Pelodiscus sinensis: one gene and its partner. The protein of the gene in region 2 purifies or fractionates together with the protein of the main gene of each other region. This does not show direct contact. Links are inferred from orthologs where the notes say so. Each region holds a gene or a part of one and is shown on either strand. Other genes may lie near its edges.

Region 1 (7,945 bases), on a different chromosome or scaffold from region 2:
GTTTATGATGAGACCCTGGTTAAAATCATGGCAACACATCACTAATTGCATGACAGGAAGTGACTATTTAACTGGTTTCTGCAAGCTTGCCACCCATTGCAAAGAAGCTAGTTTCCACAGTCATTAGATAATGCAGCTTCTCTTCTGCCGTCACATAATGTGGAGTCAGGAGTCCTGCTGCCAAAGTCCTGCTACCACCTCTTCCATTGAGTTTCTCTGTGACCCTAGGCAAGTCAGATGACCTTTGCCTCAGTGGCTCCATCTATAAAATGGAAATTATAGCTGCCAAGCCCAAAGGTATCACAGGAGTTAATGTCTGTAAAGGCCATAAGGAGGCTCAAAAGAAAAATGCTGGTAATACTAAGTACTCACTCGTGCTCAGAATGTCCTGGTGTGAAATTAGGTCGTTCAATGTCTGAGGGCGATATTTTTCCACCCTAAAGATAAAGGTATTTTAACATAAATGCAGATGATGAGCAGAGATTTCAGGCTTTTCACAAGTGTAGAAAACAGGTGTCCCAGACATGAGATTTTTCTGTTCTCTTCCCCATGCTGGACAATCACCCACAAGGCTAGATAAACACTCACCTTCAATCTACTCTGGATTTGGCTGACATCAGAACCTAGCCTTGTGGTTCTGGTTGCAAGTCAAAGGGATCTGTTTGACCCTTAAGATGACAAAAAAACCCTCACAAAATGAGCTGAACTTGTAATTTTTCTGCACAAACTTAGGTTCCGGCATTGCCAAATCCAAGCCCTGGCTGAATCCTAGCACAGAGAACCCAATCCAGGCACCTGCAGTTCCCTTTTGGAGACTAAGTTCCCTTTTGAAGACTAGCCTGCTCTTTTGGCATCTGCAATATCTTTAAATGCCCCAAAGTTTTGTCATGCCTTATACAATTAGAAAAACTCTGCCCTTAGGAACTAGATCCAACTCCATGCTTCTAACCGCAAAATACTCTGCAAGTCCTAGGTCTTCACACTGGCATTTACAAGGGTTAATCTGGGGATTGATTGCGGGTGGTGGGCAGAGAAGCTGGAGTCAACTGAGTTGGGAATTGCAAATGATCCCACTAGAACAGAGCAGCTGAGGTGCGCTCTCGTGGCTGAGTACAGGACTGGCTGGGCACCATGTTTTATTAAACAGATGTTCTGTGTTGAGTGTAAAGCAAGCCAGGCTCAGTGAACACTGAGCCACCACAGCAGGGTAGCCTTATTTCTATTAATCCCTAGGGAACAGCTGACTTTGGACAAATTGCCCCACATACAGGGATCCACCTCCCAGGAGGAACATGGCATTTGAAGTCATAAAAGACTTGGTTGTTGATTTACTCAGGGGAGATGGATGGCAGGGGAGGGCACACCAGATCAGACCAGGTGAGAAACAAACTAGCATGAACCAATTTACACCAACTCAGAATCTGAAGCCAGCCCTTCCTTCCCCAACATCTCTTCTTCTCACTTCAGGAAGGAGTGGCTTCCCCAGATCTGGGAAGGGGAGGAGAGGCAGACCCTTCCTAAGGCTGCAAGACATAGAGAACTATTTTTGACAAAAGCGGGCTATATCCTACTTCCTACCCCGTGCCAGCACTGGTGAGAGGACAGTCCGGGGCAATTTGCATAACCCTTTGGCATGGAGTTATTTTGACTTTAGGAACGGCTGTTACTGCTATCCTAGGCCTCTCCTACAACCTGAACTTTACCGAGCTTCATCCCTTGCAATGAATACTCCATTGCAGCGCATCTGCCTGCAGCCTGTAACTACGAGACACAAGGGGAGGGAGGGCAAGCAAGAGTTGCAAACAGGAAGGGAGAACCCAGGGCTGTATAGCCTGAGCTGTGCCCTCCATGCAGTCAGGGCAAGGGGGCGGGGAGAGGGAGCTAACCCCACGCCATAGCTGCTCCACCATGCCAGCTCTTGCATGCAACAGTGGGGGCTGGATTCGCGGATCCCAGCTCCCCTGCACACCCCATGCCAGCTCTTGCATGCAACAGTGGGGGCTGGATTCGCGGATCCCAGCTCCCCTGCACACCCCATGCCAGCTCTTGCATGCAACAGTGGGGGCTGGATTCGCGGATCCCAGCTCCCCTGCACACCCCATGCCAGCTCTTACATGCAACAGTGGGGGCTGGATTCGCGGATCCCAGCTCCCCTGCACACCCCATGCCAGCTCTTGCATGCAACAGTGGGGGCTGGACTCGCGGATCCCAGCTCCCCTGCACACCCCATGCCAGCTCTTGCATGCAACAGTGGGGGCTGGACTCGCGGATCCCAGCTCCCCTGCACACCCCATGCCAGCTCTTGCATGCAACAGTGGGGGCTGGACTCGCGGATCCCAGCTCCCCTGCACACCCCATGCCAGCTCTTGCATGCAACAGTGGGGGCTGGATTCGCGGATCCCAGCTCCCCTGCACACCCCATGCCAGCTCTTGCATGCAACAGTGGGGGCTGGACTCGCGGATCCTAGCTCCCCTGCACACCCCATGCCAGCTCTTGCATGCAACAGTGGGGGCTGGATTTGCGGATCCCAGCTCCCCTGCACACCCCATGCCAGCTCTTGCATGCAACAGTGGGGGCTGGACTCGCGGATCCCAGCTCCCCTGCACACCCCATGCCAGCTCTTGCATGCAACAGTGGGGGCTGGATTCGCGGATCCTAGCTCCCCTGCACACCCCATGCCAGCTCTTGCATGCAACAGTGGGGGCTGGATTCGCGGATCCTAGCTCCCCTGCACACCCCATGCCAGCTCCCGCGTGCAATTGGCGGGAAAAGGGGGGATGCAGGGACCCAACCCCCCCTTTAGCATGCATCGGGGGAGGGGGGGGCAGGGCTGGACGGGCCCGACCCCAGCTGCGCGGCACCGCTGGGCCCAGGCTCTGTGCTTCTCCTACCATGGCAGGTTCCTGCTTTTCCCGGCGGGCGGCGGCGGCTGCTTGGGGGCTGCAGACTCCATGGGGCCGCGCGCGCCCCCTCCCCGCCTTTGCAGCGGGGCGCTCAGTCCGCGCCCGGGGCAGCAGGAGAGCCCGGCGGCTCGCGCTCAAACAGCTCCCGGGCCTCGCGAGAGCGCGCGGCTGCCCGCCCCTCCCCTTCCCCGGCTGCCCGCGCGCGCTGGGGCTGCGCACGTGGCTTTCGGGCCAGGTGCTGAGCGCGCGGCCACCTTGGTGCTGGGCCCGCGGGGCAAGCGAGCCACTGATCCTTGCACTGAGCTGCAATGGCTGGAACCCACAGCAGGCCCCCGGGGTGCAAGAGTGCCCCTAGTTCCAGCACCGCTGCAGTGGATTGGCCTTCTGAGCGCTGCGCTTGGCTTAAGCCAGCATTCTCCCAAGCATTCTGCAGCTTTCCTCTGCAACCATAGGTGGAGGAGCTTGCTTGTTTGGTTAATAATAATAATAATAAAAAAAAATGAGAGTCGCCTGAATCCTGGAGGTGGGGCTTGAAGGAACACAAAACCTGACAAAATCACCATCCTTAGGCATATGCTGAATCCTCAGCACTGTAGGGCAGGAAGCCCCACTTTTAGTGCCTGCTATGTACACCTAGGGCAGTGGTTTTCAAACCTCACATGTTTCTACGCAAACCTTTCCCTGGACCACCAGTTGCTAATGGAAACTCGCCATTAATTACATAATTATGCCTGAGTCATTTTGCTAGTGCTGGAGGTAGAGAGAATGGTTTGATTTAACCTTAACCAGTAAGAAAGGAAATGTTAAATTATTAAAGAGTTTTAATTAAATGTTTTAATTTTCTTATGTTAGTTTATTAAACTTCATTTTAAATAAATTACAGAATTACTTTATAAAGGAAAAACAACCTTGTGATACCATCTACATCAATGGTCACCAACCAGTAGATCAGGATCTACTGGTAGAGCTTGGAGCCTCTGACAGGTGATCCTGACTGGTTTGGCCAGGAAGCTATCAAGCACTGTCACTCCAGTTACTCCTCCACCCACACTTATGCTGCTCCTGCCGGCTGCCTTGGAGCTGTCCCCCTGGGAGCCTCTTTCTTGCTGTGCAGGATGTGGGAGGGAGAGGATGGGGGGTGCTGATGTCAGAGTGTCCCTCCTCCCCCCACTCCTGTACCCTGTCTCCACACAGAGAGAAGGGGATGGCGGGAGCTTGGCAGTGCAAATCTCTGTCACTCTCACACAATGTGTGTCTCTATCATTCTCACAAACACATACTGCCCTTCACTCACATCTCCCAACCTAACAGAAATGTGGGTTGTTGTTACTTCTGTTACTCTTTGTGAAGTGTTTTATTTTTGGTTTCTGACTAGTCTGTTCATTTCATAATTTTCATTTCTCTCTTATGCTTAAATGTATTTCTTTGAGGAGTGAGTTCTAAAATGCTTAACCTGTCATGGCTGGAGTAATTACCCCTGTGGGAATTGCTGCTCCTGGAAGTGGCTGGCATGTTCATGCAGCTCCTGAGAAAGGGAGAGCAGGGGGTCTCCACATGCTGTCCTTGCCTGCAGACACCACTCCTGCAGCTCCCATTGATCAGTAATGGGGAACTGTGGCCAGTAGAAGCCGTGGGCTCAGTGCCTGTGATGAGGGGCAGCATGGAGCCATTGCTTTACATGCTAGCTGCTTTCAGGAGTGGTGCAGGGCCAGGACTGGAGTAAGACTGCCTTAACTCCACTGCAGGGGCGGCCCTAGACTAGCTGCAAGCAACTGGCGCCCTAGGCGAACCATGCAATCAGCGCCCCCACCTCCAAACCCCTCAATGATATTGTGCCATCATTTGGTGCCCCATTTAACTTGGTGCCCTAGGAGACCACCTAGTTCGCCTATATGGACCGGTTGCCCTGCCCCACTGTTCCACCACCCGGAAGCTGTCTCAATTAAACGGTGCCCAGCCAGAGCCTGCTTCCTGAAACCCTGTCCCAGCCCAGAGCTTGCACCTTGAAACCCCTCCTGGACCTCAATCCCCCACCCTGGGCTAAGCCCGAAGCCCCTCCCACACTCCAAATCCCTTAGCCAAAGACCAGAACCTTCACCCCAACCCCTGACCCCAGCCCGGTGAAAAAGAGTGAGGATGTGGGAGGAAGGGGGATGGAGTGAGCAGGGTGAGGGTGAGGCCTCGGAGAAGGGGTGAAGAAGGGGTAGGGCCTCAAAGAAGGGGCTGGAAGAAAACGGGGCAAGGTTATTTGGGTTTGAGGTAGATTTTACATGGCTCTTAAATTAAAAAAGTGATCTTGTGGTTAAAAAGGTTGGAGACCCCTGATCTACATGTTTTGTTAGTCTATAAAGTGCTACTAGACTACTTGTTGTTTTTAAAGTTTTTCCTGTTACAGACTACTTGGCTACCCCTCTGAAGTATTACTTTATGTTCAACACAAAAGGTTTCAATGTTTTGGCAGGGGTGAGGAACTGTTTTTGGCTCAGAGGCCTCTAACCCACAGAAAAATCAGTTGGAGACCACACAAGTGAAAAGCAAAACAAATCCATCCAAAACCCCCCAGCCCTCACTGATGTGGCCCCCAACTGGGACACCTCACTCCTGTGGGGTTTCAGCCCCATGGGGTCAAGGAGAGGGACAGGGAAGACTGCAGTTCAGGGATTACCATGGGCTGGGCGTCTGGCCAGGAGGAAGGTTGCAGGAGCAAGAGAGGGTGCTTGAGCGGGTTGAGGGTGTCTGGCCAGGGGTAGAGTGCAAGAGCAAGGGAGCATGCAGGAGTAGGGTGGGGGAGAAGGGTGTCTAACCAGGGGAGAGGGTGCAGGAGAAGGCTGGTGGTCGGGTGTCTGGCCAGGGAGAAGGGTGCAGGAGTGGCCTGGTAATACGGGGTCTCAGTGGGGAGCGGTGCAGAAGCAGGGTGAGAATGCAGGATCTGGGCATGAGGGGAAGAAAGAGCACTTGTTTGCTTTTGTGCGCCATGCTGCTCCCAGTCAATCCGGCCAATTGGAGCAGCAGAGAAAGCCTGCAGGCAGAGGGGCTGTGCACTGCTGTTTCCCCAGCTGAAGAAGTGGGAGGGAGAGTGTCAGTGCACAGAGCTGCTTCCGGCTCCACTTCTTCCCCATAATCTGGCAGGGAGGCTCAGGGCTTCCCGTCCACCACAGAGGAAACTCAGCAGTGATGCACCAACCTTGCTGGTGGGAGTGAGAGCACGAGGCTGGAGAGCCAGTGCAAGCTTCCTGCTGCAGGGAGAAGGAGGGAGGCAGGAAGTGGGGGGAAGGACGGGGCTGACCTTGAGCTGCGGACTACCTGGAAGGTGGTGGTCCAAGGACCACAGTTTGAGAACCACTGGCCTAAGGCCACCACTGCAAAAGGGGACCACAAGGTGCTGGGCAGTGCTGATGCCAGCAGCCATCCTCCACCCCGGGCTGTGCTCAGTCCGTGGTTATCCACTCCACTTCACGGTGCAGGGACCCAGACAGGGCTGGAAGCTGAGGTTCAGGGCAAGTGGTGGAGCCCTGGATAGCAGCCGGACCCGGGATGTGGGGTTGGCAGCAGCGAGGAATCCACGTAAAGGTGGGGGTGCTGCAGCGCCCCTGAGTTCCCACACTTACGCCTCCTTACACTGCTCCTGCCCCTGCAGCCCTGAGTGTAGCCCCGCACCCTATGGACCAGCCACTGCTCTGTTTCCCCCACCCTAAGGACGGCCCTGTCACCAGAACAGGAAATGTTGGAAACTATGCTGATTTTCCTCCTCTTAGCGTCTGGACCCCTAGAAATACTTTGCCCCAGTCTTGCAGTGAGCTCCCATCACATGGCGTGCAGGCACCGGCTCAGGGGGAATTACCGGTGTGCTGGAACTAGAGGTACTCCTGCACTCCCTGTTTTGAAGTAATAATACCAAATATGTGGTTTCCATCGTCAGTACCCTATTTATAAAAATTGCTCTAGCGCCCCTGGGAATTACCCATGGGGCTTTGCAGGCCCTTGGGATCCAGTTGTGAGCCTTAATTGGTTAAATTGCCTTTTGTAACACTGAAAAAAAAACTGTTAAGAGCTCTTGCTTTTGAAATAATTTGAATAAAACTTCACTTTTTGGAGACAGGGAGCAATAGGTAAAAGGATTATCTTGAACACATCCCCAGTTATTTAATTCAAAGTTATAAGTGTCCTGAGTGGCATATTTTTGTTAGTCACGAAACATTATCCACACGTACATATTTGGAACTCATCATCTGCTTAAGCTGGAAGGAATATTGAATGGGACGATATTGGCATGCCGGTATATGGAGAAATCAGTGTACTCCAATCTTGCAAAAAGCAAGATTGTGTTAGATCTCTTATAAAACATTTTAGTGTGATGAGAGGTTATCCTTAAATCTTTAGCATAATGAAAGGAGAATGGAAAGAGCGGAGTGAGTCACTTAGTTTGTCTAAGAATGGGAGACTATGAAACTTTAAGTGTTTTAAATCATGATCACAAACAATGCACAGTTCCAAATGTAAATCAAACAGCACGTAGAGCACAAAGCAGAAAAAAATAATATGCCCCTTTCTTCTGTGTGATGTATAATGGAGGCCTGAAGACTTAGCATATGAATTTCCTTTTTATTGAAAATAATCTTTTTTTTTATTAATTTAAAACTTGACATTTCTGATTTTTTGTTTTAATTTTTCCTGTTTTTGCTGGTGGACTCCAGTCATTTAGAGATGTGGGCTCTGGAGTTTCTTAGCCTTAGTTGTATTGGTGGACAAACTGAATTATTAACAAAAAAAAGAGGTTTTGCTCTCAAATGTGTGTTAAAGGTGTTAAAAAACAACCATAAAGCATCCCAGAGTTCAAAACAATTTCAATAAAATATTCCTTTTTATTAATCAATTTTCTTGCTTGGTGCCTCTAATGTTATACATATGCCAACATCCCAGCAGGTCATAGTCTCTTAGGAAAAATGGAATATGCAAGAAAGGAGTTTCAATCTTCAAAAATAAAATACAATGAAAAAAAGCAAAAAAGGGCACAAACAATTTTTCCCATTATTAAATCTTC
Region 2 (7,419 bases):
CCTGTATCTCAGGCTGACTCCCAAGGAACTGTTCTGAAAGGAGTCTGACAGCATGGCTGAAAACATTATGCTGAACAGGGTCGGTGCCAGCATGCACCCTTGCTTGACGCTGTTTGTGACGGGAAAAGCCTCTAAAGCTTCTCCATCGTCCAGAACACGAGCCGTCATGGAACTGACGTACCATCAGGATGAATCTGTCAGGGCACCCAAACTTCGACATGATGCACCACAGACCTTTGTGACTGACAGTGTCAAAAGCCTTGGTGAGATCCACAAAGATGGTGTACAGTTCACGATTCTGCTCTTGACACTTCTCTTGGAGCTGTCGGGCTGCGAAGATCATATCCACAGTGCCACACTCTTTGTGGAAGCCGCACTGTGTCTTGGGTAATAAACCCTGTTCCAGGTGGTCAATCAGGCGATTCAACAACACTCGTGCAAGGATCTTGCCTGCGATGGAGAGCAGTGATATTCCTCTATGATTATCGCAGACTTGTCGATTTCCTCTCCTCTAGTAGAGGTGTACGATGGACGCGTCTTTCAGTTCCTGAGGAATAGATCCTTGATTCCAGAAGGACTGGAACAGCTGAGTGAGTTTGTCGACAAGCATTGCACCACCATCCTTATAGACTTCCACTGGGATCGCATCAGATCCTGGGGCCTTACCACTGGACAACTGGCTGATGGCCTGTAAGGTTTCAGTCTCTGATGGTGAGACATCCAGGCTGTGGTTGATATCCGCCTGGGGCATTCTATCAATCGCCTCGTTATTGATGGAGGATGGGCGGTTCAGTACGGATTGGAAGTGCTCAGCCCAACGCTGTAGAATCAGAGTCTTCTCAGTAATGAGAGTTACATCATCTGAGTCCAGTAGAGGGGAGCTCCCTGAGGGCTGAGGTCCGTACAAAGATCTAAGGGCTTCGTAGAACCGTTTGGCATCGTTTCCTGTCAGCAAACTTCTGGATTTCATCTGCTTTGGCACTCAACCAGGAGTCCTGCATCTTGCGAAGCTTGCTCTGTACGGTCCTGCGAATGTTGTTGAAAGCATTTTTCTTAGCTGTTGACGATGGGTCGTCTACCATTGAAGTAGACCGGAGTTATGGCCTTTTCCAATTTAGTGGTCCTTTATTTTAACACCTTAGACAAGCTTTATTGCTGCCGCCTTTCGGAAAACACAGTGGGATTATGAAGCACTGGCACTTTCAGAAACACACAGCATGCTACTTCTTTGAAGTTGTGGAATGGCATATAAAATAGGAATGTGAAAAGTTAACCAGTACGCATCACCTTTAACAGGGGATGCTTACTGGTTAAACAGCAGAGGCTGCTCCAGCCCTGTGGGGCCTGCAACAGGCAGTGGGCTGATCTGGCACGGGTGGGCTGGCGCAGCACCCCCTGCTCCCGCTAACTGATTAAATGTGATGTGTAACAAGTTAACCGGTTAATCAATTAAACAGGACTGTATATCACTAATATAAAATACAGTTGAATAACTGCAAAACTCCATTGCCAATACCAGATTCTCTATACCCAGTTTTCAAAGTGAATAGCTGCTGCTTTGTCCCTGAGTGTGTCAAATCTAGTACTTACCACAAACTTTCCCAAGTGAAAGAGGGCTGCAGAACGATTGGCATAACACAATGACATTTCTGGGCTGTCAAGTGCTACGTGGGACACTGCCTGCAAAGATAAAAAAGAGCAGTGGCCACACTGAGAAAGGAGGATTGGCATATGTTCCCTGGACAACTTGATTTCTGGAACATGAGATGTGCGTGGTCAGGAGTAGGAAGGGAACTAGAGATTTTCATTCCCAATCCGTCATCATTTTATCTTGACTTCTTCAATTTTTACTCCATGCTACAACAGCCAGGAGAGCTCGTGTGATTCTCAGATGCCTAAATAGGGGAATACAGACGAGCAGGGAGGTCGTATTATTTCTGTAGATTACTTTAGTGAAACAATTACTGGAACATTGTTCCTGATTTTGATGTGTGCTCTTCAAAGAGAAATAATGTTACATTGAAGAGCTAACACATTACTCATGCTCTGAAAAACCTGTCTTATAAAAGACTTAAGGTTAAAAGAGGATAGAATCACAGTCTATAAGTACTTACATTATGATATTTCATTAGGCTTTTTTCTGTACTGAACTCAGACTTGAAATACAATGCAAAATTTTAACAGGCCAACCAACCACTGGAACAATTAACCTAAGGAACATGGTGGATTCACCATCAATGTAAATCTGTAAACCAAAACTGGATGCCTTTCTAAAGACACATAGTTTAACCACAATTAATTTGATGTAGGATATTACAGGATGAAATTCCCAGGCCTCAGTTCTGTAGGAGGTCAGATTAGATTATTAGGCAGTCTTCCATCCACGGGATCACGAGGCAATTACAAAAGCCTATACATTGAACCTCAACACCCTTGTGAAAATGTTTTTATTCAAGATAAAACTAGACCCAATCCAGTCTAGTGCAGAGCTCTCTCAGCCCCTGTGAAAGTCACAGGGAGTTGAATGTGCTCAGCACCTTTCCAGACTGAACAAAGTGCAGTGCTGGGCTTGCCCAGATTTACAGCAGAGCTAGGAATAACACAGAGTCATGTGGTAACAGAGCTATTTACTAGAGAAGACTGAACATGCAGCAGAACAAAACCCAGGACTGTCCTACAGAGGGCTGCTTCCTTGCCAGTTTCACATAACAGGAGACCCTTGCCACAGGATTCATAAGCACCCGGGCATTGCAGCTAAAGGCCTGGTCTACACTCGCCCATTGTCACCCAAAGCTGCCTTTTGTCGCCAAAACAGCGAGAACATTTACACTACAACGTGATGGGAAAAACACACAATTTTGTCAATAAAAACTCCCCCCCCCCCCCCAGAGACTTTTGTCTTTCCCCTCCCTTTATAGTGGACAAAGAGCCAGTGTGAATTTTGTTGAGAAATATCACACAATGCCTGCCCTGATGGCTCTGCTTCCTGTTTTGTGATGTCTGCTGCCCTTCAGACATGGGTCCCTCACCTGGCATGCACCCCAGGATGTACCTGACAGCTGAGCGGGATGCACTGTTGGGGGAACAAAGAACAAGTCCTGCCCGGAACACAGCTGCTGGCACACTGGCCGTGGACATTCCTGGGCAGGGAGAGCTCCCAGAGCTCATCAGGACGCTGCTCCAGGCAGCGAAGGGACAGATCCGCTAAGCCTGCCAGCCGCCCTGTGGGATGCTGACCCCGGCGGCTCTGCTCTAGCTGTGGCAGAGGAGCTCGCTCGCCATGTGGCCATGGAATGTGGCCAACGGGAGGGCCAGAAAACGTGTTACAAGTCTGCATGTGACAGCACTCGGTGGCCAAACCTGCCCAGCGCAGCCACAGCCGAGCCGCCACCAGACCCGCCGCACACCTTGCTGTAGAGCCCGGCCGCAGCCGCGTAGTCCCGGCCCTGGAAGCGCTGGGTCCCCTCCTGCTTGTAGAAGCGGGCGGCGCGTGGGTCCTTCCCGACCCCGACCCGGGCCGCCAGGCTCCGCAGCACCGCCTCGTCCGCTGGCCTGGGGGGCGGGAGAAGAGTCGGGTCGGGGGGGCCGGCGGGGGGGAGAGCGAGGGAGCGGGAGGAGGGGCCGCTCCCCGGGGCCGGCGGGGGGAGGGGGGGGCCGCTCCCCGGGGCCGGCGGGGGGAGGGGGGGGGCCGCTCCCCGGGGCCGGCGGGGGGAGGGGGGGGGCCGCTCCCCGGGGCCGGCGGGGGGAGGGGGGGGGCCGCTCCCCGGGGCCGGCGGGGGGAGGGGGGGGCCGCTCCCCGGGGCCGGCGGGGGGAGCGGGAGCGGGGGGGGCTGCTCCCCGGGGCCGGCGGGGGGAGCGGGGGGCCGGCGGGGGGAGGGGGGCTGCTCCCCGGGGCCGGCGGGGGGAGGGGGGGGCCGGCGGGGGGAGGGGGGCTGCTCCCCGGGGCCGGCGGGGGGGAGGGGGGGGCCGGCGGGGGGAGGGGGGCTGCTCCCCGGGGCCGGCGGGGGGAGGGGGGGCCGGCGGGGGGAGGGGGGCTGCTCCCCGGGGCCGGCGGGGGGAGGGGGGGCTGCTCCCCGGGGCCGGCGGGGGGAGGGGGGGCCGGCGGGGGGGAGGGGGGCTGCTCCCCGGGGCCGGCGGGGGGAGGGGGGGGCTGCTCCCCGGGGCCGGCGGGGGGGGGGAGCGGGGGGGGCGCTCCCCGGGGCCGGCGGGGGGAGCGGGGGGCTGCTCCCCGGGGCGCTCACCGCAGCAGGGGCGCGCAGAGCCGGAAGGTGTCCCGCAGCGGCGCGGCCTCGCACAGCGCCTCCCGCAGGGCCGGGGCCAGCGAGCCCCACCGCCCCCGAGCATGGGCCCGCCAGGCCTCCGCGGGCAGCTCCATGGGCGGCGCGAGGCTCCCCCGGCAGCTGCTGCAATGGCGGCGCCCGCACCCCAGAGGCTCCCTTCCGCCGTACGCGCGCCAGCCAATGGGGGAGCCGCGCGGCTGACGTGGTGCGTGCGGAGCGTGCGCGGTGACGCGGCGGCCGAGCGGGCTGCGGCGGGAGCATTTGGCGGCAGCGCGCGGAGCCGGAGCCTGTGGCGCAGCATGAGCGCGCGCCTGAGCGAAGGGGCCATCGCGGTGAGGGGGGGCTAGTGCGCGGGGCGGGGCGGGGCGAGGTTTCGGGGTGCCCGTGCAATGGGTGGGGGTTGCGGGGCCCCCCCCCGGGATGGGCGAGGGCGGGGCGCCCCCCCGGGATGGGCGGGGGCGGGGCGGGGTTGCGGGGGGCCCCCCCCCGGGATGGGCGGGGTTGCGGGCCCCCCCCCGGGATGGGCGGGGGCGGGGCGGGGTTGCGGGGGGCCCCCCCCCGGGATGGGCGGGGGTGCGGGGGGGCCCCCCCGGGATGGGCGGGGGTGCGGGGGGGCCCCCCCCCGGGATGGGCGGGGGTGCGGGCCGGCCCCCCCCCGGGATGGGCGGGGTTGCGGGCCCCCCCCGGGATGGGCGGGGTTGCGGGGGGGCCCCCCCCCCGGGATGGGCGGGGTTGCGGGGTGCACCATGCGCTGAGACGAGGGGGACAGTCCCCGGGCCGGTGTGGACTGGGGGAGTCCGTCCTGTTGGCCCCGTGGAGCGGGGAGGGGAGCGCAGGCTGCTGAGGACTGTGACTAATCTCCCCTCCCCCAGCTGTCTCCGGAGCACCCCGGGGGGGGGGCAATGTTGGGGTGTGCCAGAGAGAATTCTGAAGTCCTTGAATAAGTTACAGTCTGTAGGAAGTAGAACTACTTTCAGCATCTCCATAGACTGCCTGAAAGGGCTCAACAGGCTACTGTGTGAGAAATGATGAACTAGCAACTTGGCCTGTTACTTCCCATAAAGTCCAGGGATTTCTTAGGTGAAACACGTCTCTCAGCACATAGTCTTGCCCTTTTCCTTGTACCAGCAGTGTGATTCCTTCTACAGTGAACAGAACTTTTCAGGATGTTCACATTGCTGGCATACTATCTACGTTTGATTTAGCACTTTGGGAGCCGTTTATTATAATTAGTCTAGTTATTTATTTGCTAATCTCCCTGGTTACAAAGTTTAAAGAAAATCATTTCCAATCAAAAGGATTAAATCCTCTATCTTCCTTTACAGGCCATAATGCAGGGAGAGAATAATTTAAGACCTGTTCTCCAAGTCATTGTGAGTATTCCTTCAAATGTCCTCTTACTCGTGTGACCTGTAGCTTAATGTACTTGTAAGTGTATGTGCCGTTTTACAAATCCATAAAGACAAGGTACCTAACCTGGCAACCATTAAGTTTAACTGGTTAAATGATTTGACAGAAGTGGGTGAGCTGGAGAGGACCCTGCACTGTGGGCTGAGACTTCCAACCCCGCTCTTGGCTGTCAGCTCCCAATCTGGGCTCGCAGGCTGGGAATCTGCAGCATCACAAGGGGTGGAAGCAGCAGCCTTGTGCAGGGCTGGAAGTGGCAGGCTCCTTCCCCTCCCTCCCCACCACTTCTAGCTCCGTTTGAGCTGCCAAAGAAGTGAAAGTCTTGTAGGTGAGTAGACCAGTACTAGCAACTTGTACTTGAAAGGCTCATTGGCATGAATCTGCACAAGCATGTTTTAGTCAGTCTGAGAGAGGCTTTAATTGAATGTCATCTATCTTAGTTTTCTGTTTTATGAGTAAGCTCTCCAGAACAGGTGTCAGCTCTTCGTTGTTTCTAATGTATGCCTGTAAAATCAGATCAGGGCTAAGAATTCAAGTTTTTCCTTCTAGAACATCCGAGCCATCGCCACAGGAAATGGGCCACCTCGTTACCGTGTGCTGATGAGCGATGGGGTGAACACACTCTCCTGTAAGTTATGCATTGTCACAAGAATTTACAAGTACATGGCTAATAATTAGACCCAATGGTCAGAATTAATGACAGTGGTATTTGCTGCTGAACTGAGTTCCAGAATGTGAATGGTATAGAATTTATTTTGATGTTGGAATCTGTAACTGTATTTTATCTTATAAATAAACTCCAGCTTTTCTGAGTTGTTGCAGTGTGTCCAAGAATTTGTTTATTATAGAGAACAGCTCAATTCTATGGAATGGTGATTAGCGACTATCTTAATAATGGTGGTCTGGGTGGATTGATTTAAATCAAGGTGATTTGAGTCATGAATTTAAATCAAGTTATCAAAGAAGCTTAGATTTAATGTGCTTAGAGTGCACTTAATTTTGGAGTAAACCCCAAATTTTGGAGTAAGCCCGGATTGAACTCACTGGCCCCTCTGGGGTTCTCTTGGAAAAGATAAGTTATGCTGAAGAAAAATAGGTAATTATGATCTGGACCATGATGTTCCAAAATGAGAGGCATGTATTTTGTAATATCTGATAAGAAAATGACAGTCAGTGGCAACTGGCAACTCTAGATTTCTTTTACTGTAGCTTTCTATATTGTATACTTGAATGACAGATTCTAATCCTGGTTAACTAATTAAAAACAAGCTATAAGGATTAGCTAAGAGAATTTTTTTTTCAGCAAAATGTAATACAGCAAACAGCTTGGGAATTTACTTGTCAAATCACACACTAAAAGGCATAGAGTCTTGATGAATGATGTATTTCAAAGTGAATTATTTAAATTACTAACTGTGGATACCACTTAGATCTTCATCTTTATCTTTTAGAAGATGTATCCACATCTTCATCTACATCATTTTCTCCCAATAAGCAGTTTTCCTTATTAGTTTTGTTCTTGCAACTAGACCCTGCATCGTCATGTTGCGCTACTTCCACTTGACAAGTTTTTCTTTTTTACCCGGGGAACGAATTTCTTCAAAATATTCCTGATAGGGTGTGTCTGATGCCCAGAAGCCATGATGCATTTTCTGTGGCAAATGTGGGGGAATATAGAAAGCTCTGTGTTCTGTTCTCAGACTTTAGAGAGTTAATATGTAATTTATGTTTG

The links. The genes of interacting proteins can lie anywhere in the genome.
Region 1: the proteins of RPA1 (region 2) and RFC5 purify together in Homo sapiens (affinity purification with mass spectrometry; 3 studies listed by BioGRID and IntAct, with this or other methods). This does not show direct contact. The link is inferred for Pelodiscus sinensis from reciprocal best matches to the Homo sapiens genes RPA1 and RFC5.

Annotation. Positions count from the first base shown.
Region 1 is NC_134725.1:10,998,444-11,006,388, forward strand, and holds the start of RFC5 (replication factor C subunit 5), read right to left. Parts: upstream 3,078-7,945; 5' UTR 2,955-3,077; coding exon 2,893-2,954; intron 438-2,892; coding exon 373-437; intron 1-372. UniProt on the Homo sapiens protein: Subunit of the replication factor C (RFC) complex which acts during elongation of primed DNA templates by DNA polymerases delta and epsilon, and is necessary for ATP-dependent loading of proliferating cell nuclear antigen (PCNA) onto primed DNA.
Region 2 is NC_134731.1:874,896-882,314, reverse strand, and holds the start of RPA1 (replication protein A 70 kDa DNA-binding subunit), read left to right. Parts: upstream 1-4,375; 5' UTR 4,376-4,408; coding exon 4,409-4,612; intron 4,613-5,605; coding exon 5,606-5,653; intron 5,654-6,236; coding exon 6,237-6,315; intron 6,316-7,419. Other genes in the region: protein-lysine N-methyltransferase SMYD4, read right to left, coding at 1,591-1,680, 3,408-3,552, 4,242-4,375. UniProt on the Homo sapiens protein: As part of the heterotrimeric replication protein A complex (RPA/RP-A), binds and stabilizes single-stranded DNA intermediates that form during DNA replication or upon DNA stress.